Sus scrofa: one gene and its partners. The protein of the gene in region 2 interacts with the protein of the main gene of each other region in a biochemical or structural test. Links are inferred from orthologs where the notes say so. Each region holds a gene or a part of one and is shown on either strand. Other genes may lie near its edges.

What was found.
Region 1: the proteins of SLC9A3R1 (region 2) and ADRB2 form a complex in vitro, tested with the Homo sapiens proteins (3 studies listed by BioGRID and IntAct, with this or other methods). The link is inferred for Sus scrofa from reciprocal best matches to the Homo sapiens genes NHERF1 and ADRB2.
Region 3: the proteins of SLC9A3R1 (region 2) and PTEN form a complex in vitro, tested with the Homo sapiens proteins (3 studies listed by BioGRID and IntAct). The link is inferred for Sus scrofa from reciprocal best matches to the Homo sapiens genes NHERF1 and PTEN.
Region 4: the proteins of SLC9A3R1 (region 2) and ABCC4 form a complex in vitro, tested with the Homo sapiens proteins (3 studies listed by BioGRID and IntAct, with this or other methods). The link is inferred for Sus scrofa from reciprocal best matches to the Homo sapiens genes NHERF1 and ABCC4.
Region 5: the proteins of SLC9A3R1 (region 2) and TBC1D10A form a complex in vitro, tested with the Homo sapiens proteins (2 studies listed by BioGRID and IntAct). The link is inferred for Sus scrofa from reciprocal best matches to the Homo sapiens genes NHERF1 and TBC1D10A.
Region 6: the proteins of SLC9A3R1 (region 2) and EZR form a complex in vitro, tested with the Homo sapiens proteins (2 studies listed by BioGRID and IntAct). The link is inferred for Sus scrofa from reciprocal best matches to the Homo sapiens genes NHERF1 and EZR.

What each region holds. Positions count from the first base shown.
Region 1 is NC_010444.4:150,031,423-150,035,448, forward strand, and holds the start of ADRB2 (beta-2 adrenergic receptor), read left to right. Parts: upstream 1-1,226; 5' UTR 1,227-1,885; intron 1,886-2,140; 5' UTR 2,141-2,373; coding exon 2,374-3,630; 3' UTR 3,631-4,026. UniProt on the Homo sapiens protein: Beta-adrenergic receptors mediate the catecholamine-induced activation of adenylate cyclase through the action of G proteins. The beta-2-adrenergic receptor binds epinephrine with an approximately 30-fold greater affinity than it does norepinephrine.
Region 2 is NC_010454.4:6,480,740-6,484,679, reverse strand, and holds the start of SLC9A3R1 (Na(+)/H(+) exchange regulatory cofactor NHE-RF1), read left to right. Parts: upstream 1-1,140; 5' UTR 1,141-1,341; coding exon 1,342-1,803; intron 1,804-3,940. UniProt on the Homo sapiens protein: Scaffold protein that connects plasma membrane proteins with members of the ezrin/moesin/radixin family and thereby helps to link them to the actin cytoskeleton and to regulate their surface expression. Necessary for recycling of internalized ADRB2.
Region 3 is NC_010456.5:99,928,197-99,932,389, forward strand, and holds the start of PTEN (phosphatidylinositol 3,4,5-trisphosphate 3-phosphatase and dual-specificity protein phosphatase PTEN), read left to right. Parts: upstream 1-1,393; 5' UTR 1,394-2,097; coding exon 2,098-2,176; intron 2,177-4,193. UniProt on the Homo sapiens protein: Dual-specificity protein phosphatase, dephosphorylating tyrosine-, serine- and threonine-phosphorylated proteins.
Region 4 is NC_010453.5:64,307,032-64,311,080, forward strand, and holds the start of ABCC4 (multidrug resistance-associated protein 4), read right to left. Parts: upstream 2,801-4,049; 5' UTR 2,242-2,800; coding exon 2,168-2,241; intron 1-2,167. UniProt on the Homo sapiens protein: ATP-dependent transporter of the ATP-binding cassette (ABC) family that actively extrudes physiological compounds and xenobiotics from cells.
Region 5 is NC_010456.5:47,298,741-47,302,900, reverse strand, and holds the start of TBC1D10A (TBC1 domain family member 10A), read left to right. Parts: upstream 1-1,360; 5' UTR 1,361-1,448; coding exon 1,449-1,657; intron 1,658-4,160.
Region 6 is NC_010443.5:8,448,362-8,450,805, forward strand, and holds part of EZR (ezrin), read left to right. Parts: intron 1-322; coding exon 323-486; intron 487-689; coding exon 690-820; intron 821-1,430; coding exon 1,431-1,591; intron 1,592-1,847; coding exon 1,848-1,940; intron 1,941-2,444. UniProt on the Homo sapiens protein: Probably involved in connections of major cytoskeletal structures to the plasma membrane. In epithelial cells, required for the formation of microvilli and membrane ruffles on the apical pole. Along with PLEKHG6, required for normal macropinocytosis.

The DNA of each region.
Region 1 (4,026 bases), on a different chromosome or scaffold from region 2:
CTTTATTGCACATTTAGACATAGAGGAAATTAGGCTCCAGATTTTGGATTTGCCTAAGGAATGTGAGCTAGAAAGAAACTGGAATGCAGTATTCCAATTCCAGTTGTAATCCTTCTCTACCCTCCACTCTGTTCTGCACATGGTAAAGCAGTACATTGAAAGGATTAAAAAAGAGATTTTAGAATCAGGGAGAACTGGGTTCAGCTCCTGCCTGGCATTGCCAGGCTGTGCCTGTGGGCAAGCTATTCTCCTCTTCCAGCCCCCTTTGTGAATTAAATTAAAAATAACTATCCGCCCCACCCACCCCAGCACACACACCACCAGGCGACTGTGGGAAGGATGAAATGGAATAATGCATGAAAAGCACATAGCAGAATGTTTCATAAATGTTAGCCATTGTTAAGTTATTATGTAATCTAGAAAATATGTTTGGTTACACTGAGTGAAACACTTTCAGTTCTTCAAAGACACTACTAATACATGTAAAAATCAAACCCTGAAAATTAATTTCTTTTTAACAGTGAAGTCACATGCCAGATGCAAAGGCTAATATTTCATGGAAAATGACCTCGTCTGAAGCTTGGTCTGACTTTTTTAAGAAAAAATACCTTTTCCTTTCTGTGGTTTCAAACCTTTTTTTTTTTTTTTTTTTTTTTTTTTTTTTGTCATTTTGCCATTTCTTGGGCTGCACCTGCGGCATATGGAGGTTCCCAGGTTAGGGGTCTAATCGGAGCTGTAGCTGCCAGCCTACACCAGAGCCACAGCAACGCTGGATCTGAGCCACATCTGCGACCCACACCACAGCTCATGGCAACACCGGATCGTTAACCCACTGAGCAAGGCCAGGGATGGAACCCGCGACCTCATGGTTCCTAGTCGGATTCGTTAACCACTGCGCCACGACGGGAACGCCTCAAAACATTTTTAATGTTACACATTCTTAGTAATGTGAACCATAATAAATTGCCATGTTTTAGAAGCAGAGATTATAGAATAGCAGCAATTTCATATGGCTCGGATCACCAAACTACCCAGCAGATGATTTTTCTAGTTGCCCAGGCATGAATGAAGTAGAGCTTCAAAGAAAAATTATTCTATTTTCAGTACATTTTCACTTGAACAGATAATGAAGGAGTGATGCCACACTCACTAGAATTAAAATTAAAGCATACAACTTTCTCTTTCTGTCCCCAAACACACGCATGGATAGCCCAGGTCTGAATGAAATCCCAAGCGTAAAAGCCTGTCTCAGTGCCTGCAGATTCCCAAGGAGAGCACCGAAAGTCCTTGACAGCGAGCGAGCTGAGGAAATGGGCAGCTGCTGAAGTCACCTCCTGAGGTCTCGCCAAATGTTTGAAAGGGAATATGCGAAATGTCCGCATGCTGGGGAGGAAAGGACGGAGATCCAGGGTGCCGGAGAAGGGTTTGTAGAACATGGGTGGGGACGTCCTTGGCTGTGACTCCCGGCTTGCCTCCACGTGGCCCTTAGTGTGTTGTTTACTTCTTTTCGTGTGTGCCTATGACTTTGTGGTTCTGGGTGCTGCTGGGTTTGTTCCTGACCACGTCTCTGCGTTAGTTAAGGTTGACTTTGCGCCGATTTGCTTGTGTGTGTGTGTGTGTCCGTGCGCGCACGCGCGTGTGCTTGTCGGTGTGCTGGATGGGTGTGTCTGCGTGTCGGTGGCTGTGGCTCCGTCTAAGTCCGTGCACGTCTGCCAGGTGAATTGTGCCTGTCCGTGCGTGTCCTGGCGGGCACTCTCATTCTCGTCTATTTCCGAATAGGAGGGAGTGCCTGCGCACTACCCTCTGCCCAGGGTCCTCAGGCCTCACGACAAGCCCGGGCAGGCAGGTAGCAGCCACAGAAGACTGCGCAGCTCCCAGCTCGCTGGTAAGCGGCACCCCCCAACTTCAGCTTCAGCCCTGGGGCCAGCCTGGGTAGCCTGGAGGGAGTGGCGACCGGCCGGCAGGGAGCAGCGGGGCCCCGCCCGGGCCAGCCCCAGGAGGAGGCGGGAGAGGGAGGGAAGGGGCGGGGGGGGGGGGGGGGGCCTCGCCCCTTTGGGGCTTCCCGCGCGCCATTGGTCCCAAGTTGGAGCACGTCACGGGGAGGGCAGTTCCCCTCAAGTCCTGTGCACATAACGGGCAGCGCGCACTCCGAGGCGGCTTCTCCGGAGCGCAGGCAGAGACCCGCCGGCACTGCGAGCCTCGAGCACCCCGGGAGCTGAGTGCACCACGCGCCCCCTCCACACCCACCCCACGGCCGCTGAATGAGGCTTCTAGGCGCCCGCTCGCTGCCCGCAGCCCCCCGCCGGAGGTCGGCCCGCTGAGGCGCGGCGGGTGCGCCGGCTGCCAGCGCGCTCACCTGCCCGCCTGCGCGCCATGGGGCAGCCCGGGAACCGCAGCGTCTTCTTGCTGGCGCCCAACGGAAGCCATGCGCCGGACCAGGACGTCCCACAGGAGCGGAACGAGGCATGGGTGGTGGGCATGGCCATCGTCATGTCGCTCATTGTCCTGGCCATCGTGTTTGGAAACGTGCTGGTCATCACAGCCATCGCCAAGTTCGAGCGTCTCCAGACGGTCACCAACTACTTCATCACCTCCCTGGCCTGTGCTGACTTGGTCATGGGCCTGGCGGTGGTGCCCTTTGGGGCCAGCCACATCCTCATGAAAATGTGGACTTTCGGCAGTTTCTGGTGCGAGTTTTGGATTTCCATTGACGTGCTGTGCGTCACGGCCAGCATTGAGACCCTGTGCGTGATCGCCGTGGATCGCTACCTTGCCATCACGTCCCCCTTCAAGTACCAGTGCCTGCTGACCAAGAACAAGGCCCGGGTGGTCATTCTGATGGTGTGGGTCGTGTCGGGCCTTATCTCCTTCTTACCCATTAAGATGCACTGGTACCAGGCCACCCACCGGGAAGCCTTAAACTGCTATGCAGAGGAGGCCTGCTGCGACTTCTTCACCAACCAGCCTTACGCCATCGCCTCTTCCATCGTGTCCTTCTACCTGCCCCTGGTAGTCATGGTCTTCGTCTACTCCAGGGTCTTTCAAGTAGCCAGAAGGCAGCTCCAGAAGATCGACAAGTCTGAGGGCCGCTTCCACGCCCAGAACCTCAGCCAAGCGGAGCAGGATGGGCGGAGCGGGCCGGGACATCGGAGGTCCTCCAAGTTCTGCTTGAAGGAACACAAAGCCCTCAAGACGCTAGGGATCATCATGGGGACGTTCACCCTGTGCTGGCTGCCCTTCTTCATCGTCAACATTGTGCACGGGATCCATGACAACCTCATCCCCAAGGAAGTTTACATCCTGCTAAACTGGGTGGGCTACGTCAACTCGGCGTTCAACCCCCTCATCTACTGCCGGAGTCCAGATTTCAGGATGGCCTTCCAGGAGCTTCTGTGCCTGCACAGGTCTTCCCTGAAGGCCTATGGGAACGGCTGCTCCAGCAACAGCAACGGTAGGACTGACTACACAGGGGAACAGAGTGGCTGTTACCTGGGGGAGGAGAAAGACAGCGAACGGCTGTGTGAGGAGCCCCCAGGCCCGGAAGGCTGTGCACACCGGCAAGGTACTGTGCCCGATGATAGCACTGATTCACAGGGGAGGAACTGTAGTACAAATGACTCCATGCTGTGATGCAGGTGTCTACTTTCTAAGCGCCCCTTTCCCTCCCAGCCAAACACTAAACAACTCGAGTGTGATGAATTTAGAATGAACGTCTATAGAGATGTGCAGGAGGAGGAACATCCTTCTGCCTTTTTATTTTTTATTTTTTTAAGTTGTAAAAAAGAGAAAACATTATTTGAGTGATTGTTTCTTGTACAGTTCAGTTCCTCTTTGCATGGAACTTGTGTAAGTTTATGTCTGCAGGCCTTCGGTCCCAGAGGACGTGGGGCTGGTATGTTTTGATGACTTTTCCGCATATCTACCTCATTGATCAAGTATTAGGGGTAATATATTGCTGCTGGCAATTTGTTTCTGAAGGAGACCTTCCTTCCTGCACCCTTGGACTGGAGGATCTTGAGTCTCTCG
Region 2 (3,940 bases):
CTCCCAGGCAGAGCAGGGAGGAGCCTGACCTTGCAGGGGATCTTCTGGGGCACAAGGCAGGTCGCAGACAATCCAATCACCTAGGCTGCTCCGGGCCTTTAGCATTTGTGTATTCCAGAATTAAACTACAGTATTTTGGAAAGTACACCCTGTCCGCTGCTTTCTGCGGTGCACATAATGTGTGTGTGGGGGAGGGGGCGCGGAGATCATGCTGAAAGCATTGTTGTTGCTTATCACTGACTGCCAAAATCATTTGATCCTCATCCTTCAATGTCCCCAGCTGGTCACCTCACCCTTAACAGACCCAGCCTCTCATCTGAAAGAAAGAATTGAAAGGTCTCCCTTTCAGTCCTCATCATTTTTCTTTCTCGGATGAAAAAAGCCAAGACTCCTTTTCCTGTGGACTGCACCCCGAAATTGGTTACCTGTGTTCTGCCTCTCCCCGCCCCCACCTCCCTAGGCAAAGGCTGACGCCAATGCCACACCATTGCCCTAGGTGTCCTGTTTTCGACAGGCAGCTCTCTCCTCTCTGCTGAGCCCTCACATTGTCCCCGCGAGGATCCAGCAGGTCCTGGGACAGCGCACAGTGACCCTGCAAACGGGAAAATACCATTATTCAAACCACTCTGTCGGGTCCGAGGTGGACCTAGGTCTTATTCGTGGGGTCTCCGGACGGGAGCGGGTGTTCCTGGCAACAGTTGCCCCTACTCCCACCTCCAACGGCAGCTGCACATTTTAGCTAAAGTCTGTCCAAACGTTAGTCTCCTTTACCCACGGGGTGGCTCTGCTCAACCCCCGACACAGGTGGGAGGAAATCAGAGCAGATCCTGCAGGCCGCTCTGCCCAGTACAGGAACTCGCTCCCGCCTCCTTGTGCCCCCGCCTCCCCGCTCGCGCCTCAACTCCAGCCACTTGGTAACAAACACTTCCACTTCCTGAGCTCTCTTTCTTCTCCCGCCGCGGGGCGTCTCACAGAGCGCAGAGTCCCGCCCCTGCGCACTCCCATTGGCCGGTGTTGTTCACCCGGCCAGAGCGGCCCCAGTTCGTGGCCTCTGATTGGCCCTCGGTGGTCCACACCCTCTGCGCGGCCCCGCCCCCGAAATAAGGGGCCGGGTCGGGTTCTGGAACTCTCAGACGCCGCGCGGGGCGGGGATTGGTCTGAACGTTGCGAACTCTGCTCCCAGCATTTCGCCGCCCCGGCTCCCGGGACACCTGCTCTCTCTCAGGTCCCGCGGCGCCAGGTTTCCCCTCCGCTGTCGTTCTCGCCACCCCCGCCCGCAGGGTAGGGAAAAGGGTTGGACCATCCCGTCTCCGAACTCTGCTTCGCGCCGCTGAAGGCGAGATGAGCGCGGACTCGGCGGCCGGGGCACCCTTGCCCCGGCTCTGCTGCCTGGAGAAGGGTCCGAACGGCTACGGCTTCCACTTGCACGGGGAAAAGGGCAAGGTAGGCCAGTTCATCCGGCTGGTGGAGCCCGGCTCGCCGGCCGAAAAGTCGGGACTGCTGGCCGGGGACCGGCTAGTGGAGGTGAACGGCGAGAACGTGGAGAAGGAGACCCACCAGCAGGTGGTGAGCCGCATCCGGGCCGCACTTAACGCCGTGCGACTGCTGGTGGTCGACCCCGAGACCGACGAGCGGCTGCAGAAGTTGGGCGTCCAGGTCCGGGAGGAGATGCTACGCGCCCAAGAAGGGCCCGGGCAGGCCGAGCCGCCGGCCGCCACCGAGGCGCAGGGGGCTGACAGCGAAAATGAGCCGCCGGCCGCCACTCCGGAGCCGCACGAGGCGGAGAAGAGCCGTCAGGAGCCAGTAAGCGTGGGCCCGGGCCGGGAGGCGAGGCTGGAACCGAATGGGAGGGGGAAGAGTGGGGAGACCCAGGCGCCCCGGACGCCCGGCCCTGCTCCCGCCTTGTCTTTCTGAAACTCGATCCTCAAGGGGGAGACTGCTTCCGCCCGCGGATCGGGCGAATTGGCAGTTGCAGGCTTGAGGCTGCGACTCACGACCCCTACTCCTCTCCCCAGACTGGGCTGGGACCCCGAGCGTCTTGGCCACTTGCACCTCTTGTCCCTTGGCCTGTGGGAGTAGGAGTCAGAGAGGGCGGCGCAAGGGAGCCCAGTCCCCTTTTCCGCACTCTGTTGGTGGCGTCTGCTCCCGTCCCTTGGGACCCCCAGTCCCACCTCAGGCCCGCCGGACTGACCAGCTGCCTTCGCCGCCCCTGAGGGTGGTGAATGAAGCTGGGCTGAAGTGAGAGCAGCCCTGACTTCCAAGAACTAAAGGAATAACTACCCCCTCTCCGTGTGGCGCCCCGATGGGAGGAGAGGGGTTACCGACTGCGTTCTCCTGTCACTTCCCCCATTCCCCATAGCCCGCTGGCGCGTGGATCATTAACTGCAGCCTGGCTGGACTTCATCCTCCTCCTAGAGTCTGGTGTGACTTCTAAAAAGGAGACGCTCCACCACCGCAGATGATGTGTGGGGGTGGGGTGCGTGCGGGGAGGAGGTGCAGAGGCGTCTGGTGGGAGTGGGTGGCGGCTCTGTCACCCAGGAGGATTTATGATTCTCAGGAATGTGAGGAGTAAGCGCTGGCTTGTATCTGGGAGCAGGAGGGAAGACCTTGGAGGAGGAGAAATGGCTGGGGGAAGGGGGGGGAGTGGTCCAGGGTCATTGGACCGTAATAGCAGCCAGCATGTCACCACAGGCAGGTGCCCTTGCCCTGGCATCAGCTGTGTTACTCCAGTCCCCAGACAGCAAGCAAGCTGGTTGTTTTTTTGCCCATGTTTGGTGTTTAATGAGTCCAGTTTGGATTAGTTGCAGGGGTTGGGGGCAGAGGGAAAACAGGACTTGCCCTGATCCTCCTGTCCCCTGAGAGTGACGGGGAAGGCCTCGCGGCAAAACTGGGGAGCAGGGCCTGGACCTCCCCAGGGCCCATTTGGCTTGTACCAGCTCTCCACCTGCTGGCGGGGGTGTCCCTGGTGCCAGTACAAGCCTCCCTTGACAGAGAAAGGGCACAGTTCAGCCTTTAAGGTAGAAGGTGGAGCCTGAGAAAACCAACTGGTTTGGTGGAAGTGAGGTCACCTGGAGCCCTGTCCGGACAACACTGGGTGCCAGGGCCGCCAGGCTCCTACTTCCTGCCACTGCCCAGCTGGCATCGGCAAGGGTTGGGGCAGGGTCAGAGCACCCCTGGTGGGGTTTGACACCAGGGAACTGGAACTCACGACCTCTGGTCCCAGGCAGAAATCCAGTTTGAACTTTGTGCTGAGTGCATCAATTTGCCATTCCGTTTTTTTGTTTTCTTTTTTTTTTTTTTTTGGACTTTGGCACTTTCACAAGCAACCCGCCCCCCCCAGGTTGCGGTCATGTTCGGCTCCTCCCAGTGCCCTTTTGGTTTCGCTGCTGGGTGCGGGAGGGCCTGCGGGGAGGTAGAGGACAAAGAGCTAGAATAGAGGCCTGGCCTAGCACGTGCACCCCCCATCAGGCCTTCTGGAAAGGCAGCTCTCTGGGTGAGCACAGAATCAGATTCCCTGCATTTGTGTGTGTGCTCTGTGGGGCCCCTAGAAGGGAGTGAGACCCCCAGCCAGTCCCCAGCGACATCGTCACCAGGCCTCTTGGGGTTTCAGGTCACCAAGCAAGTCAGAACTTCTCTGTGCCATGGTTCTCCCATCTATAGAATGGGGGTGTTGGTTTCCAGTGTCACCTGCCTTCTCTAGAATTTTCCAAATAATGGGAAGTACTTGAGCCCCTAGTGGGTGCTGGACAGAGCTCCTTTTACGCCCAAGCGTTTGAATCCCAGCTCTGAGTGAGTGAGCTGGGGGTCCCTCAGCCTCTGCAGAGCTGCTCAGCAGCGTTGATCCCTCTGGTAGGAAGTTCCTGGCGTGGGAGCATGCAGGTGACCCACCCTGCCTTTGAAAAAAAAAATGTATTAATAGACATCAAACATTGTTCCTCAA
Region 3 (4,193 bases), on a different chromosome or scaffold from region 2:
GCCCGTATATCCCTCCACCTCTTTTTGAACCCTCCTCGGTCTCCTCGGCTCCGCCCACTCGCCGGGGCTGCAGCTTCCTACCGTCGCGTACTTCACTCTCCGGCCCAGCAACCCGAGTCTCCGCCCGGGTGGTGGAGCGCGGAACCGGGCCCCGGGGCGATCCAGCCAGCCAGGTTTTCACAGCGGCCCAAAAGGGGGCGGGGCGAGGAGTCTTTGGCTCAGTTCGACGCGGTGAACCCTACTGGAACCCCGAGGGGAGAGATGCTCTCTGCTCTCCAGGGGGCTGGGGTGCATCCCAGCGTCGGGTATCAGCTTTCATTTCACCTGGACATTTGTCCTTTGGGATCTAGAAATTCAGGGGCGATGTGTTCATATTCAGCACGCTCTGCTGGACCTTTCAATTTTAGGGCAAATGAACCAGGTTGCCGGGGAAGCGGGAGGTGGGGCGATGCAAGGGAGCCGGATGAGGTGATACACACTAGAGACACAATAGGGGATTCTTTGTATTAAGACTGACACCTTGAGGACACGGGTGGGGGTGGGGGATAGGTGGATTTTTTGGCAGAGGCTGCTGCAGTCAAATCCCTGCGAACGATTGTGATCCGACAGCGGTGCAAAAGGACGGGGGGTTGCAGGCCGTGCCAGGGAAATCTGGGGGCAAGGGGAGAGGTGTCCTCGCTGTAGGGACCATCCTTGCGCTTCCCGGTACACTACCAGCGCAGTCACCTGGTCTTTCCCACCTGTGCACAGGTAACCTCAGACTCGCGTCAGTGACACTGCTCAAAGAACCTGCCTCAGCCTTCACCTTAACCCCCCTGTCTCGCTCGCAACAGCCTATTCTGCCTCGGGTTGCGTTGCTGGGCACAGGCTATGGTTCAGCTCGTCCCCCCACCCTGCGTTGCTGCAGAAGCAGCCGCAGCAAGTGCAGCTTCAGGAGGGGGCCTCGGAACAAGCCCGAGCGAGCCCCGGGCAGTCATACTGGGCATGCTCAGTGGCGCCAGCAGGTTGGGGACTCGGCGCTCGCACCAGAGCTGCCGCTTCTGCCCCCTCCCTAAAACCCCAGCCCTGCCCTGCGCGTCTCTCCCCTGGCGCGGTCCGGCCCGCCTCCCGCCTCCCGCCTCCCCTCGGGCTCCCAGGCGCCCCTGCCCCTAGCGCGGCGGCGGAGGGGGCGGGCAGGCTGGCGGGCGGTGATGTGGCGGGACTCTTTGTGCACTGCGGCAGGATACCCGTTCGGAGCCGGGACGCGGCTGCGCTCAGTTCTCTCCTCTCGGAAGCTGCAGCCATGATGGAAGTTTGAGAGTTGGGCCGCTGTGAGGCGAGACCGGGCTCAGGCGAAGGAGATGAGAGACGGCGGCGGCCGCGGCCCAGAGCCCCTCTCAACGCCTGTGAGCAGCCGCGGGGGCAGCGCCCTCGGGGAGCCGGCCGGCCGGCGGCGGCGGCAGCGGCGGCGTTTCTCGCCTCCTCTTCGTCCTCTTTTCTAACCGTGCAGCCTCTTCCTCGGCTTCTTCTGAAAGGGACGGTGGAAGCCGTGGGCTCGGGCGGGAGCCGGCTGAGGAGCGGCGGCGGCACCTCCCGCTCCTGGAGCGGGGGGGAGAAGCGGCGGCGGCGGCGGCGGCGGCGGCTGCAGCTCCGGGGAGGGGGTCGGAGTCGCCTGTCATCATTTCCAGGGCTGGGAACGCCGGAGAGTTGGTCTCTCCCCTCTTACTGCCTCCAACACGGCGGCGGCGGCGGCGGCACATCCAGGGACCCGGGCCGGTTTTAAACCTCCCCTCCGCCGCCGCCGCACCCCCCCTGGCCCGGGCTCCAGAGGCCGCCGGAGGAGGCAGCCTTTCCGAGGATTATTCGTCTTCTCCCCATTCCGCTGCCGCCGCTGCCAGATCTCTGGCTGCTGAGGAGAAGCAGGCCCAGTCGCTGCAACCATCCAGCAGCCGCCGCAGCAGCCATTACCCGGCTGCGGTCCAGAGCCAAGCGGCAGCAGAGCGAGGGGCATCAGCTACCGCCAAGTCCAGAGCCATTTCCATCCTGCAGAAGAAGCCCCGCCACCAGCAGCTTCTGCCATCTCTCTCCTCCTTTTTCTTCAGCCACAGACTCCCAGACATGACAGCCATCATCAAAGAGATCGTTAGCAGAAACAAAAGGAGATATCAAGAGGATGGATTCGACTTAGACTTGACCTGTATCCATTTCTGTGGCTGCTGCTCCTCTTTGCTTTTCTGTCACTCGCTCTTATAACGTGGGAGTAGACGGATGCGAAAAATGTCCATAGTTTGGGTGACTATAACATTTAACCCTAATCAGATTTCTAGATCATGTATATTTTGTGCTGCTTTTGAATGCATTCAGCCTAGGGTGTGTTCATCTAGACAGAACTCTTGCTTGGTTGCAAGTGTCAAGGCGCCCATGGGTTTCTTAGTCTGTCTACGGGGTCTCTTCCTAAGGGCTATTGTCCGTTAATACAGAATACAGTACAGTGTTAGTGGATTAGTGAGCTCGGTAATCCGGTCTATTAAATGAACAGAAAAGTAGATGCTTTGAGGTTGAGCATATTTCGATTAAATCTTGGCTTTAGGCCCTAGATCAAGGGTATAGATCAGATTAAAATGAAAATTAGTGTTGCACGTACGCATATTGCATCAGAATCTTGCAGTGATTGTTTTGAGTTTCCTGGGTTGCATTGATAGATTCTTTTAAAATGTGAGTTGTGAACTGATTTGCATAACTTTAGAGAGAATCATTTTAGCATATATGGTGCTCATTTGAAGGCAAAAGTAGGTTTGTGTGTTAAAACAAAGTTAATTACAACTTTGAACTGCATGTGGAAGTTTTGTAGCTTGAAATCAATAGTGCCGTGGTATATCTCATAAATCGTTCTTATTAGATCTTTGTTAAATTTGCTCCCCTCCCCCCATTGGGGTGATATGGGATAGGATATGAAATTTGCAATTCAGTAGCATTTTATATTCAGTGCTCTTGTGACAAGTAGTAGAATGGAGATTGAGTGGTTTTTGATCCCAGATGATAAGGTTGTATAGGTTGAAGGGTATAGTGTGTAGCAAATGGTGATTGCAGAGATTAAACTTCAGTTTCACTTGAAATTTAAGTATTATTGTGATGCCAGAATTGCTGCTCACCTTATTTAGGTATCATGTCCTCTGACACCTTTGGGTATCCGTTAATCTTACTCTGACTTGTGTAGAATGTCAAGTACAATTTATCAGCTAATAATCAGACTGGCAAGAGTGGATTACTCCAGCTTCAGATTGTAGGTGTGTTCCGCTTTTTCCATACGGTGTCTTAAATTTACTGAGTCAGCTTGTTGAATAAGATAGAAACCCAAGAATTTCAATAGTGTATAGTATTGGTTGTCTAACAGGCCCTTGTACTTCAAAAGATGCTGGTTATCAAAAGGCATTAATCTTTGCAGTTTCAGGTATAATAAGCTGGCTTTGATCAAGGATGGGAATGGAGCCCTTTTTTGCAGAATGAAAAGTATCAGAAATTGAGAGTTACGAAAGGCCAGTGTATAGACATGAGACAGGATTAAGTTACTGGTCTGAGGTGACTGAAGCATTTTTTTAAGCCTCTATTAAGATAAGAAATTTGGTGGTATGAATTTTACTAGTTGACAATATTTAGTTAAAACTATGTAGTTTTATAAGTGTTAATATTCTTTAATAAAAGTGGTTTCTTAGCAACTGTCAGTAAACATCTCTCCTAAAGGTAAAGTGAGACTAAAGTGTTTATATATGTACAGCTAAAAATTGTGGGGGAGTTTTTTTGAATCAAACGTTGTATATCTGGAGAGATTTTATTCCTTCGGGTTATGTATGTGCACATAGTGTGCACAGCTAATTTACTCGAAGTATTTGTTTTGAAATGAAGATAAAATTACTGAAGAAATAGCTTTACCACGCACACAAGGTAACCGTTTTCTGTTAAGTTAAAAAAGAATGTTTAAAAAGAATATTTGGAAATTTTAAAGTTGCATTAATTGAAAACTTTACTGAGACTGAACTTGACCCGCTTACCCAGAAGTTAATTACGGAAAAACTCTTCTGATTTGTAACTTACTTCAAAAATAGTCTACTGTTGGCGTAAACTGACAGTCATCTGAATATATAGGAACACATTAATTAACTGTTTAACTTTTTAAAATAAGCCTCCATTCAAAAAATTTTCCAGAATGCTGTTTA
Region 4 (4,049 bases), on a different chromosome or scaffold from region 2:
ATGAAAGATTGCATAAATTACCATTAAATACCCGGTTTTAAACATAAATAAACACTAACCATAAAAAATTAAGGATTCAAGATTCAAAACTATTTAGTTTTATAGAAACGATGTGTGAGCAGAAGAGTGCATAAAGATTTCTAGGGAAAAGACTGAAAAACAACCAAAATAGCATCAAATGTACTTGGCTAACAGAAATAAATCCTTGGGGAGTTCCTGTTGCAGCTCAGTGGTAGCGAAACCGACTAGTATCCATGAGGACCTGGGCTTGATCCCTGGCCTTGCTCAGTGGGTTAAGGATCTAGCATGGCCAGGAGCTGTGGTGTAGGTCGCAGATGCGGCTCGGATCTGGGGTTGCTGTGGCTGTGGTGTATGTAGGTCGCTGACACAGCTTGGATCCCATGTTGCTGTGGCTGCGGTGTAGGCTGGCAGCTGCAGCTGCAAGTCAGCCCCCTAGTCTGGGAACCTCCATAGGCTGAGAATGCGGCCCTTAAAAAAAAAATTGCTCCTGCTGCTGCAGTAGGAAAACTGGACACAGGTGCCTAACAAAATCAGACAAGTCCTCACCTATCCCATTTACAGACACATACATTTTGAAAATCCACAAACAGAAGATGCTCTGAGAATTCCTTGCCCTGCCAGAAGTTACAGTAACCACACCCATAAGCCTAGGCTCTACTTTACTCAAGGGCCACCAAATGGCCAAGAGATGTAGCTACACACACTGAATACACCTCCAGCAAAACAAGCTTCCAACCCTTGGGGACCCTCTGCTAGGCCGGCCCATTAAAAAGGAAATTATCAGAGTATGGATTAGGGGCCAGAAACAAAAGATCTCATAATGACCCAAGTGTGATTAAAGGCCAAAGGTTCAGGCCCACCTAGTTAAGTAGTCCTAGCTACTAGATAAAAACTTTTAGTTAAAGCTTCACCAGAGTTCAGTAGCGGCTCAGCGATTAACATCCAAGAGGTTGCTGGTTCAATCCCTGGCCTTGCTCAGTGGGTTACGGATCTGGCATTGCGGTGAGCTGTGGTGTAGGTCGAAGAAACAGCTCAGATCCCGAATTGCTGTGGCTCTGGCATAGGCCTGAGGCTACAGCTTCTACTGGACCCCTAGCCTGGGAACCTCCATGTGCCGCAGGTGCGACCCTAAAAAAAAGGAAAAGAACTTCACCTCTGTAAGCTGTTTTTCATCAGGGTTTGCTCCCAGCTCAGGACGCTTCAGTGGATTTAGGACCAAATGATTCCTGGGCCGGACCATCAGCACTGTCAGACCATGCACTGCTTCTCTGAAGGCTAGAGACCTGGATAAGACCCCACAGGCCTCAGGGACCCCATCCCCAGAGTGGTCCTCAAAAGGGGAAGTAGAAATATTTGCAATAGGAAAGAGGCTAGCCAAGTTCATTCTCCAGTGCTGGCTGTGCCTCCGGGGCCAAAGCAAAACGTGCCCAAGAGCAGTGTGCCCCAGTAATTAAAAAATAGTGTAGTTTTTTCACCCACATGTAATTTGCCACAACTAGGTACCAAGATAGTGAGAGACGCACACGGAGAGGGAGGGAGCGAGACACAGTCACAAAAACACAGACAGAGGGAGCTCAGTGCAGTTTGGTACGCAGCTGTCATCTAAGAATACAGAAAAAGGTGGGGACATTGGAAGACGGCAACTGGTCCAGGGCACTAAATAGATAAAGGAAGCTGTTCATAAGATGCTTGCTTAGGGGGGAAAGGGTGCAGCTTTAGCTCAGAACTTCGAACTCCTTAGCAATACTGGGGAAGCCGGCTACACAGAGTAGGGAGTGGAGAGGGGGCGCAGCGCGTTCTCCTGCTGGGTGTAGATTCCCACTGGGCAGCCCAGGTTCTCCGCCTCTCCCCCTCCTGCTCCAGCTGCTCCCCCTGCTCCTCCTCCTACGGGCTGGCGAAACAGCGAGAGGAAAGGCAGGGACACCCGGCGGCCCCGCCACCAGGGCCTCCTCCCCCGCCCTGCTCCTCCGCCCCCGCGCGCCCAGGCTCAGGTGGGGACCACGCGACCCGCGTGGGGCCGCCCCATTGTCGGCGGGAAGCCGGGCGGCCTGGGCACCGGCGGGAAGCTCTTGCTCGCCCCAACCCTCTGTTCCCGAAAGGCGCCGGCGCGGCGGCGGCGGTGTCACAGCTCAGGCGGGGCGCTCACCAGAACAACACGCGCGAGCAGACGTTCGCGTCCCGAAGCGGGTTGGGCTTCACCTCCGGGTACACCGGCAGCATCCTGACGGCCAAGACGGGTGCGGGCCGGGGTCGCACAGCTCCCGCGGCGGTGCCGCTCACGCTGCTCCCGGAAGGGTTGGCGGAGATGCTGGACCTCTGGCTGGCCCGGGGGTCCGCCTGCAGGAGCCCAAGAATCACTCGCTTCCGGGAGTGGAACGCCTGCGGCCCGCCTCCCAGGCCGCGCCGCCTCCCGGGTCCGCCTCGGGGCCGCCAGCTACGCGCCGCTGCAGGATCTGCCGGGAGCCGGGTGCAGCGGACGCGTGCGAGCGGCGAGACAAAGGGGTGACTCGGCTGCCGCCGTCCGCAGCTTGGTGAAGGGGCGAGGCGAGGCCGAAGGTGCCGTTGGATGGAAGCGGGTAGACCTACCACGCGACACAGTCTGTCTCCGAGCCGAGACACCCACGTGCTCGCACCTGGCTGCAAGCTCAGCCTCAGTTCTTGCTCCCAGCCCAGGCACCCACCCAGAAGAGGTGGAGAGGGAGAGGCGTGGTATTTGCCCGCCCCTGCAGTTCAGAAACGCCCCCTCGGCTGCAGCTTTCCGAAGACCCAGAGAAGGCCGGCTGTAGGCATTAGCAGTCCGCCCTCTGGGCACCCTGCCCTCCTCACGACCAAACTAGGGTGCTATGGGAGGTTCTCCATCCTGCGGCTAAACATTTGACCTGGGACAACGGCTGGATTTAGCACAGATGTGTTTGTAACGCTGCAAGACCTAAAGATATGTAACAGAGAATTAGAAGAACTCAAAAAATTTTGGAAGACGAATGCACGCTTCCAAAGGGCTTTTGAGATCTCACATTACTGCATGGTGCGGGGGGGACCTCTGTAAGCTTTTTGCTGCCCTTTTAGATTGGGAAAGGGGAATATGGCGAGAGACTGCCTTATGATTTCTTTCATCATGTGCTCAAAACCTAGTGGAGTAACAGTGGTACATTTTATAAAACACCGGTTATAGGCACTTCTGGGGACCTGACTGCACTTTTCACTCTAACGATGCCCTAATAAAGAAGGTATTACTATCCCTGTTTTACAGATGAGAAAGATAAGGCTCAAGGACAGAACTTGTCCAAGGCTTGAAAATCAATAAACAGGAGTTCCTGCTGTGGCACAAGGGTATGGGAGATGTCTCTGTGGCATGTGGACACAGGGTTCATCCCTCCCCTGGCACAGTGGGTTAATGGATCTGGCCACCCAGCTGCAGCTCAGATCTGACCCCTGGCCCAGGAACTCCATATGCTTCGGGCTGGCCAAATAAAAATAACATAAAATAAAATAAAATCAGTAAATAATGAATTCTGATTTGGACCAAGTGAAAGTCCAGCATGGTCTCAACCGGTAGGTGGACAGTGTGCATGAAAAGTGCCTAGAATATGCTGTTTGGATGAATGAATGACTGCAGGTCTGAATGAACCAAATCTTGGGTATCTTCTCTTCCCTTCCACTCTAAATGAAGAAAGCTCAAAGTTCTTTGTGTTTACAATGATAACATCTTTTTTATTCTTTTTGAGTATTTCAATGTACCTTGACTAAAATACTGTTATTACTTTTTTTGCTGTACCCGGTAGCATGTAGAAATTTCCAGTTGGGGACCGAACCTGCACCGTAACAGTGACCTGATCCACAGCACTGACGTTGTCAGGATCCTTAACCCACAGAGACATGTGGAAACTCTTAAAATAGTGTTATTAATAATGGCTTTTTTCATCGAGAACTATGTCTAGATACTTATGTTGCAACAGAAGAAAGGGTGGGGGAAAAACTGTAATTGCAATGTATACATGTAAGGATAACCTGACCCCCTTGCTGTACAG
Region 5 (4,160 bases), on a different chromosome or scaffold from region 2:
ATACAATGGAATAGTTTTTGGCTTTGAAAAGGAATGAAGAATTGATACATACTACAACATGGATGACTCTTGAAAACATGTGGGGTGATAGAAGCCAGACACAAAGCCCACATACATATGATTTCATTTATATGAAATGTCCAGAAAAAAACAGAACTTTGGAGACAATTAGCAGTTGCCAGGGAGTGGGGGAGGAAGGATGGGGAGTGACTGACTGCTAATGGATAGGAATTGCTTTATGTCTAACCCATGGCATATGGAAGTTCCCAGGCTAGGGATTGAATTGGAGTTACAGCTGCCAGCATAGGTCACAGCAATGCAGAATTCGAGCCGTGTGTGCAGTCTTTACCACAGCTCACCTGTACTTAAGTGAGGAGCTATCATTATGACTCTGTGAGTTGATATCCCTTAACCCACTGAAGGAGGCCAGGGATAAAATCCTCATGGATCCTAGTTGAGTTTGTTAACTGGTGAGCCAAGACAGAAACCCCTGGATAGGAATTTCTTTTTGGGGTGATGAAAATGTTCTAAAGTTAGATTATGGTGATGGTTGCACAGCTTTATAAATATGCTTAAAACATTGAATTATACTCTTTAAACAGGTGATTTTTCTCAAGGCTGATGGAAAAATACAAATTACAAAAGATAGTAGGTAGAACTTGGGGCAGTGAGTGGCTCAATAGACAATGGTCATTATTCTTATTAACTAGGTCTCCCTATTTTTTTGTTTGTTTGTTTGTTTGTTTGTTTTTGGTCTGGCCGCGGCAAACAAAATTTCCTGGGCCAGGGATCGCTACAGCAGCGACAACGCCAGTTCCTTAACCCGCCAGATCCTTAATCAGGGAACTCCCAGTCTCCCTAACTTAAAGCCCCAGAAGCAGTTGGGGTGGGGGACTGCTGAACTTCAGCTCGGCCTAGGTTTTAAGTCGCTGAGAGTCGCTGGGAGAATCCCAGAACCACCGCGGGTCTCCTCGGAGCTTCTCGAATGGGTGAAGCAATCCTCACTCACGTCCCTGGGGTCTCGCGGGGGTGGGGGGTGCTTGGAAGGCAGATGCGGAATTCCCAACGGACGACTTCGGCCTCAGCTGGCACCGCGCTGCAGGTGACTGGCTGGGTCGCGGCTAACCCGGAAAGGCCAGAGGAGCTCTTTCAGGTGAGCTCTCGTGATTGGCAGCCCAGGGGGGAAGGGCTTCGGGAGACGGCTGCCCCGCCCCCTCACGTCGGGCCGGTTGGCGCCAGCCTGGGGGAGGTGGGCGGGCCCTGGGGGTCCACGGCGCCCATTGGGTGTGGAGGGGAGGGAACGCCGGGGAAGGCCTAGGGCCCCGCCCCCGGATTTGCTGCGACCAATGGGCGCGGCACGTGGGCGGGGCGTCGGCGGCAGTCGGGCGGCTGAGGCGGCTGAGGTGGCTGAGGTGGCCGCTGAAGCTGAGGCAGCGGGCGCGGCCGGGATGGCGAAGAGCAGCGGAGAAAACGGGCCGCGCGCTTCCGCAGCCAGGGGGAGCCTGTCGGGGACCCGAGAGAGCCTGGCCCCGGGCCCCGACGCCGCAACGGCCGATGAACTCAGCTCTCTCGGCTCGGACTCAGAGGCCAACGGCTTCGCTGAGCGCCGCATCGACAAGTTCGGCTTCATCGTGGGCTCGCAAGGCGCCGAGGGCGCGTGAGTATGGCTGGGGGCCGGGGCCCGGGGCCGGGGGCGGGCGCGGGACCTGAGAGGAGGGCCTCGACGCGGACCGAGCCGCTCTCAGGAAGGACCGACGTGTCTCAACCAGGAACCAGCGACCCTTATCTCCCTTGCCCCACCCCCACCTCCCCCCAGGCGGATTGACCCGCTTTCACCCTGGAGCCTACTTTGGAGCCTGGGACACGCAGGCCAACCTCACCTCTCCTGCTCGCACCTCCAGACAGACTGACCCGCCCCCAGGAAGGGCTCTCCTCACAACTGCGGACAGATTGACACCTGTCCCAACCCCATCACTACCACCCTCGCCTTAGGGTTGATTGACTTTGCCACCCTGGGCAGGCTCACAGGTGGCCGCCCTTCCCCCAACAGGCCGATGTTCTCCATGCCCCCCCGCCCCGCCCCCGACCCGCAGATGCCCTTGTTTTAGCAGCCCACTACCCTCATATCAGGGGTATACCTTAGGCAGACTTCAGAGGGACAGACTTCTCTGCCCACACTACATTCCAGGACAGACTGACCCTCACCTCAAGACACACAGACCTCTGAATAGACTGATATTTGTCAGTTCCCTCCTTCTTTGGGACAGACAGTCCCTTCCCCTCATGGAAGGGTCAGAGCAGAGCGTGTTCCCCTCTCCCCTCAGAGGCAGATTTCTCCCTGTCATTAGCAACAGGTGGGCAGACACTCCCCCTTTCCAGTACCCACAAGGTGATGGTACCTCATCTTCAGAATAGACTGTCTTTGTGGATGGTGTGGAAACATGCACCTCCTCTCCAAACACAGACTGGGGTTGGGGGGGCAGCAGCAGGAGACAGCAGGGTCCAGGCTCTTAGCACACCCAGATCCCCTGTACCCAGGCACCCAGCTGGCAGGCAGAGAAATGTGGGGCAGGGAAGCAGCACCTTCCCTTTAAGTGGGGTAAATTGAGCAGCCACATAGAACTCCTTGAGCCTAGTCCTCACAGAGATCATATGTATGGGTTGGTGATCCCTTTAGGAAGGATGGACTCTTGATCCCACTCCCATCCTCCTGTCCTGTCACATGAGACCAATGTTGTGCACAAAATTGACAAATCTCCCTTGCAATGGGCCTCCTCTTCAACAGAGAGCCCCATACAATCACTTGTGGGAGCCCACAGGACTCAGCCATGACCCTACTCCAGAGGGTCCTTCCTCCCCTTCTCTCACCATTTGTGACTGCCCAAGCTTCTCCAGCCTCTGTTATGACTTATGGAAGGGCCTTGATCATGTGTAAGATTTCAACCCCACACAAACAGTCCCATAAAGGTCACTTCTGGGATTTTTCCCTAGTCCAAATCCTCATATTCAGCAGGCCTCTTTCTCATTTGGAGAGGTAGAGAGAAATGCAGGCCTCTCCCCTCCTCTAAGGAGAGTTCTCTTTTACTCACTGGACTGTGTCCTCCAGCCTCTTTCCATTTACTCACAGCAAGCTAAGCCTTGTCCATTCCAGGACTCAGAGAGCACCCCTTATTCTGATCCCTCACCCTGACTCAAAGCTTTGTCACAGTTCCCTAGGGATTGGAATGAGAGAACCCAAAGGTGAATTGGAATATATTTTTGAAATGAGGAGCAGATACAAGGGCTCAGGGTCCTGGGAGGGATGAGGTCTAAAAAAGTGGGAAAGGAGTTCACAGTTGCATTTGTGGGTGCTTGGAGGGAAGAGCTCAGATTTGCTGGTGAATTCTGGGAGGTAAGAATTCCTACCATGCTTATCAGGCACTTAATCACATCTCAGGGTACAGAGCAGGGTGATATAGTGGAAAAAGGCCAAATTTAGCAAGAAGTCACACTTACTGGCTGTGTGACCATGGGTAAGATCCTGAATCTCTGAGCATGTTTACTCACTGTAAAGGGTAACAGTATCACCTACTCCCAAGATTACTGTGGGGATTAAATGAGATAAAGTATTCAAAGGTGCCTAGCACAGTACCTGGCTCAAGTAGTGGCCCAGAAAAAATGTTAGTTTCCTTTTCCTTCAAAAGATCTGGAAATTGAGGAGAAAGTGAGCATGTATCTCTGGTATTTGTAGAAAGAGAAAGGCCCCAGGGGAGGACCTCCCTTTGGCTGTAGTCCCCAACCAAGCAGCCAGACATCTGTCTTCCCCACCCTCCAACCACAAACCCAGGCTTTGCAGACACCCTCTGCATCCTTGGTGTCTATACTGCTGGGGCTGAGGTGGGATTCCAGGTCCCTTCCTCTCTCCCTGTCTCACTTTCTTGACTCTGTTGGCTAACCTAAAATCTCTGGTATCTGAAGGCCTGGGATGTTCCCTGTTTAGTTTATATTGTGGTTCAAAAAAAGTCAAAAGTAAGTCTCTGCCCAAGGCCATAAGAGGGGAAGTTATGAGAAGTTTCAGAGTGGTTGTGCTGAATCCAGTCTCGTGGTTGAGGGCTAGTGGGGCCCAAGTGCTGTCCCAGAAAAGTGAAACATTAGCACTGATGGCTGCAGCAGAGATGGTG
Region 6 (2,444 bases), on a different chromosome or scaffold from region 2:
TGGACCTTTGTCGGAAGGCCAGGCGGCGCTGGCACTGTGGAGGAATTGGGCTGGGGGGAAGCTTGGTGGTCCCGCGTGGGGTTCCCGTGTCTGCGCACAGGCACACCCACAGTGCCCACACTGCTCCTGCTGGTCCTGGAGAGGACGCGACCCTTCGTTTGGGGTCATTGATGACTGTGAAGCCCCCACTGGCCCCCTCCGCGTTGCTGCTTGTTCTCTTAGAAAAGCTATCCAGAACTTTGTGAAGTCAGGTTCAGAAGAAGAAAGCTAGAGAAAGGTGTCTCCGGGCCCGAATCCAAGTCCGCCCTGTTCCGCTCTGCAGGACTTTGTGTTCTATGCCCCCCGCCTGCGGATCAACAAGCGGATCCTGCAGCTCTGCATGGGGAACCACGAGCTGTACATGCGCCGCAGGAAGCCCGACACCATCGAGGTGCAGCAGATGAAGGCCCAGGCCCGGGAGGAGAAGCACCAGAAGCAGCTGGAGCGGTGAGCGGGCTGGGCTGGGCAGAGGCGGCGCCTGAGCTGGGGACAACCAGGGACTGGGGTGCAGCTGCCCCTTGGGGGTGGGGCTGGTGGCGGACTGGCTCCAGGCCAGGGCCACCTGTGGGGTGACCAGGCTGCCACGTAGACACCACGCTCCCCTGTAGAGTCTGAGCCTCCTGTGCTGCTTCTTCCCCTCCCGGAAACAGGCAGCAGTTGGAAACGGAGAAGAAACGGAGGGAAACGGTGGAGAGAGAGAAGGAGCAGATGATGCGCGAGAAGGAGGAGCTGATGCTCAGGCTTCAGGACTATGAGGAGAAGACCAGGAAGGCGGAGAGAGGTGGGCCTGCCCGAGCCTCCCTCCGGTGGGGGGCCTGTGATGGGAGGGCGCACTTGCGGCCAGGGACACACACTGCCGTCGAACACCTCCCCAAAGCAGAGACCTGGCGGGGGGCCTGATGAAGTGCTTGTCTGGATTGGGGAGAACTCTGTGCAGGTTCCGGGCTAAATGCTTACCGCGCATTCTCTTCGTGAGGTTCCCATCAGTTCTGTGGGGTGAGGACCAGGTTAGCACCTTGTTCCTGATGAGGACGGTGAAGTTCAGGGAGGTATAGTCGCACAGTCATGAGCGTCCTGGCTGTGCCACACTGTCCCTCTGTCCCTCAAACCCTCCTGAGCAGGGGTTTCTGAGGCCAGCGGCCCAAGGGTGTGCAGCCAGGCCCTGGGCGGGAGGGGGCCGTTTCGCCACCACGAGGATGGAGCCCACAAGCGCGGGAGAAACCAGCCGCCACGTGTCCCCCTCCATGTCCCCTGCCACTCTGTCCGCTGCTCTGCAGCGTTGGTGTGATTCTTGCTCGTGTCCCAGGCGCCCCTCCCCCCGGGTGGGAATTGAGGGCAAGACGGGGGGGTCCTTGGCTGGAGCCTTGAGCAGCCCCGGCTTGTGCCCTTAGAGCTCTCCGACCAGATCCAGCGGGCGCTGCAGCTGGAGGAGGAGAGGAAGCGCGCGCAGGAGGAGGCCGAGCGCCTGGAGGCCGACCGCGTGGCTGCGCTGCGCGCCAAGGAGGAGCTGGAGAGGCAGGCGGTGGATCAGATAAAGAGCCAGGAGCAGCTGGTAGGAGTCCACAGGGCCTCAGGATGCTGAATTATGGAGAGGCTGCCTCGGGGGGTAGAAAAAGTGACACCTGCTTTATAGTAACGGGTGTCTGGGCTGTAAAGTGATCCTCCTGGGGGCGCAGAGTGGCAGGTGGGAGGGGCTCTGCGTGGGTGACGGACGCTGCTGGCCGTTGACCAGAGCATGTGACCCCTCTTTCACAGGTGCACTGTCGGACGCGTCCTAGAAATAACTTGGGCTTCTGCTCCTTTTCCAGGCCACAGAACTCGCCGAGTACACTGCCAAGATCGCCCTCCTGGAGGAGGCTCGGCGACGCAAGGAGGACGAGGTGGAGGAGTGGCAGCTCCGGGTGAGTGGGGGCGGGGGCGGCGAGGATGAGGCTGGGTCCGCAGGGACAGAGCCACTTGTTGACTCCACCCGAGCTGTTCAGCCCCCCAAACATCCCCCATCAGGAGCTAGCTTTAAACCCCACGGTGTGGGTGCTGCCAGCAATGGCCATAACCCCTGCGGCAAGCCCTCCTGTCACTCCCGGAGGCTGGTCCCCACAACACGGGCACAGGGAGACCTGGCTCTGCCCCTTGCTGTGCGACAGGATGGGCGGCCTCACCTCCGAGCCTCGGTTTCCTGTAAGGACGCCACAGAGGTCGAGTTAACTGTAGCTGTACCGGAACCGTGCTCCTTCCTTGTGGTGTGACGTCTACCCAGCAGCCCCCACGCCAGCAGGGATGCACTGTCCTCAGGGGCTCAGTCAGGCTTGGAGTGGCCAGACTGGGGGCTCCTTTCCCCTGCCCTTTGCCACACTTCCCAGCTGCAGGGGCCCCTTCTGGGAACACCTGGCACCTCGCTCCCATCC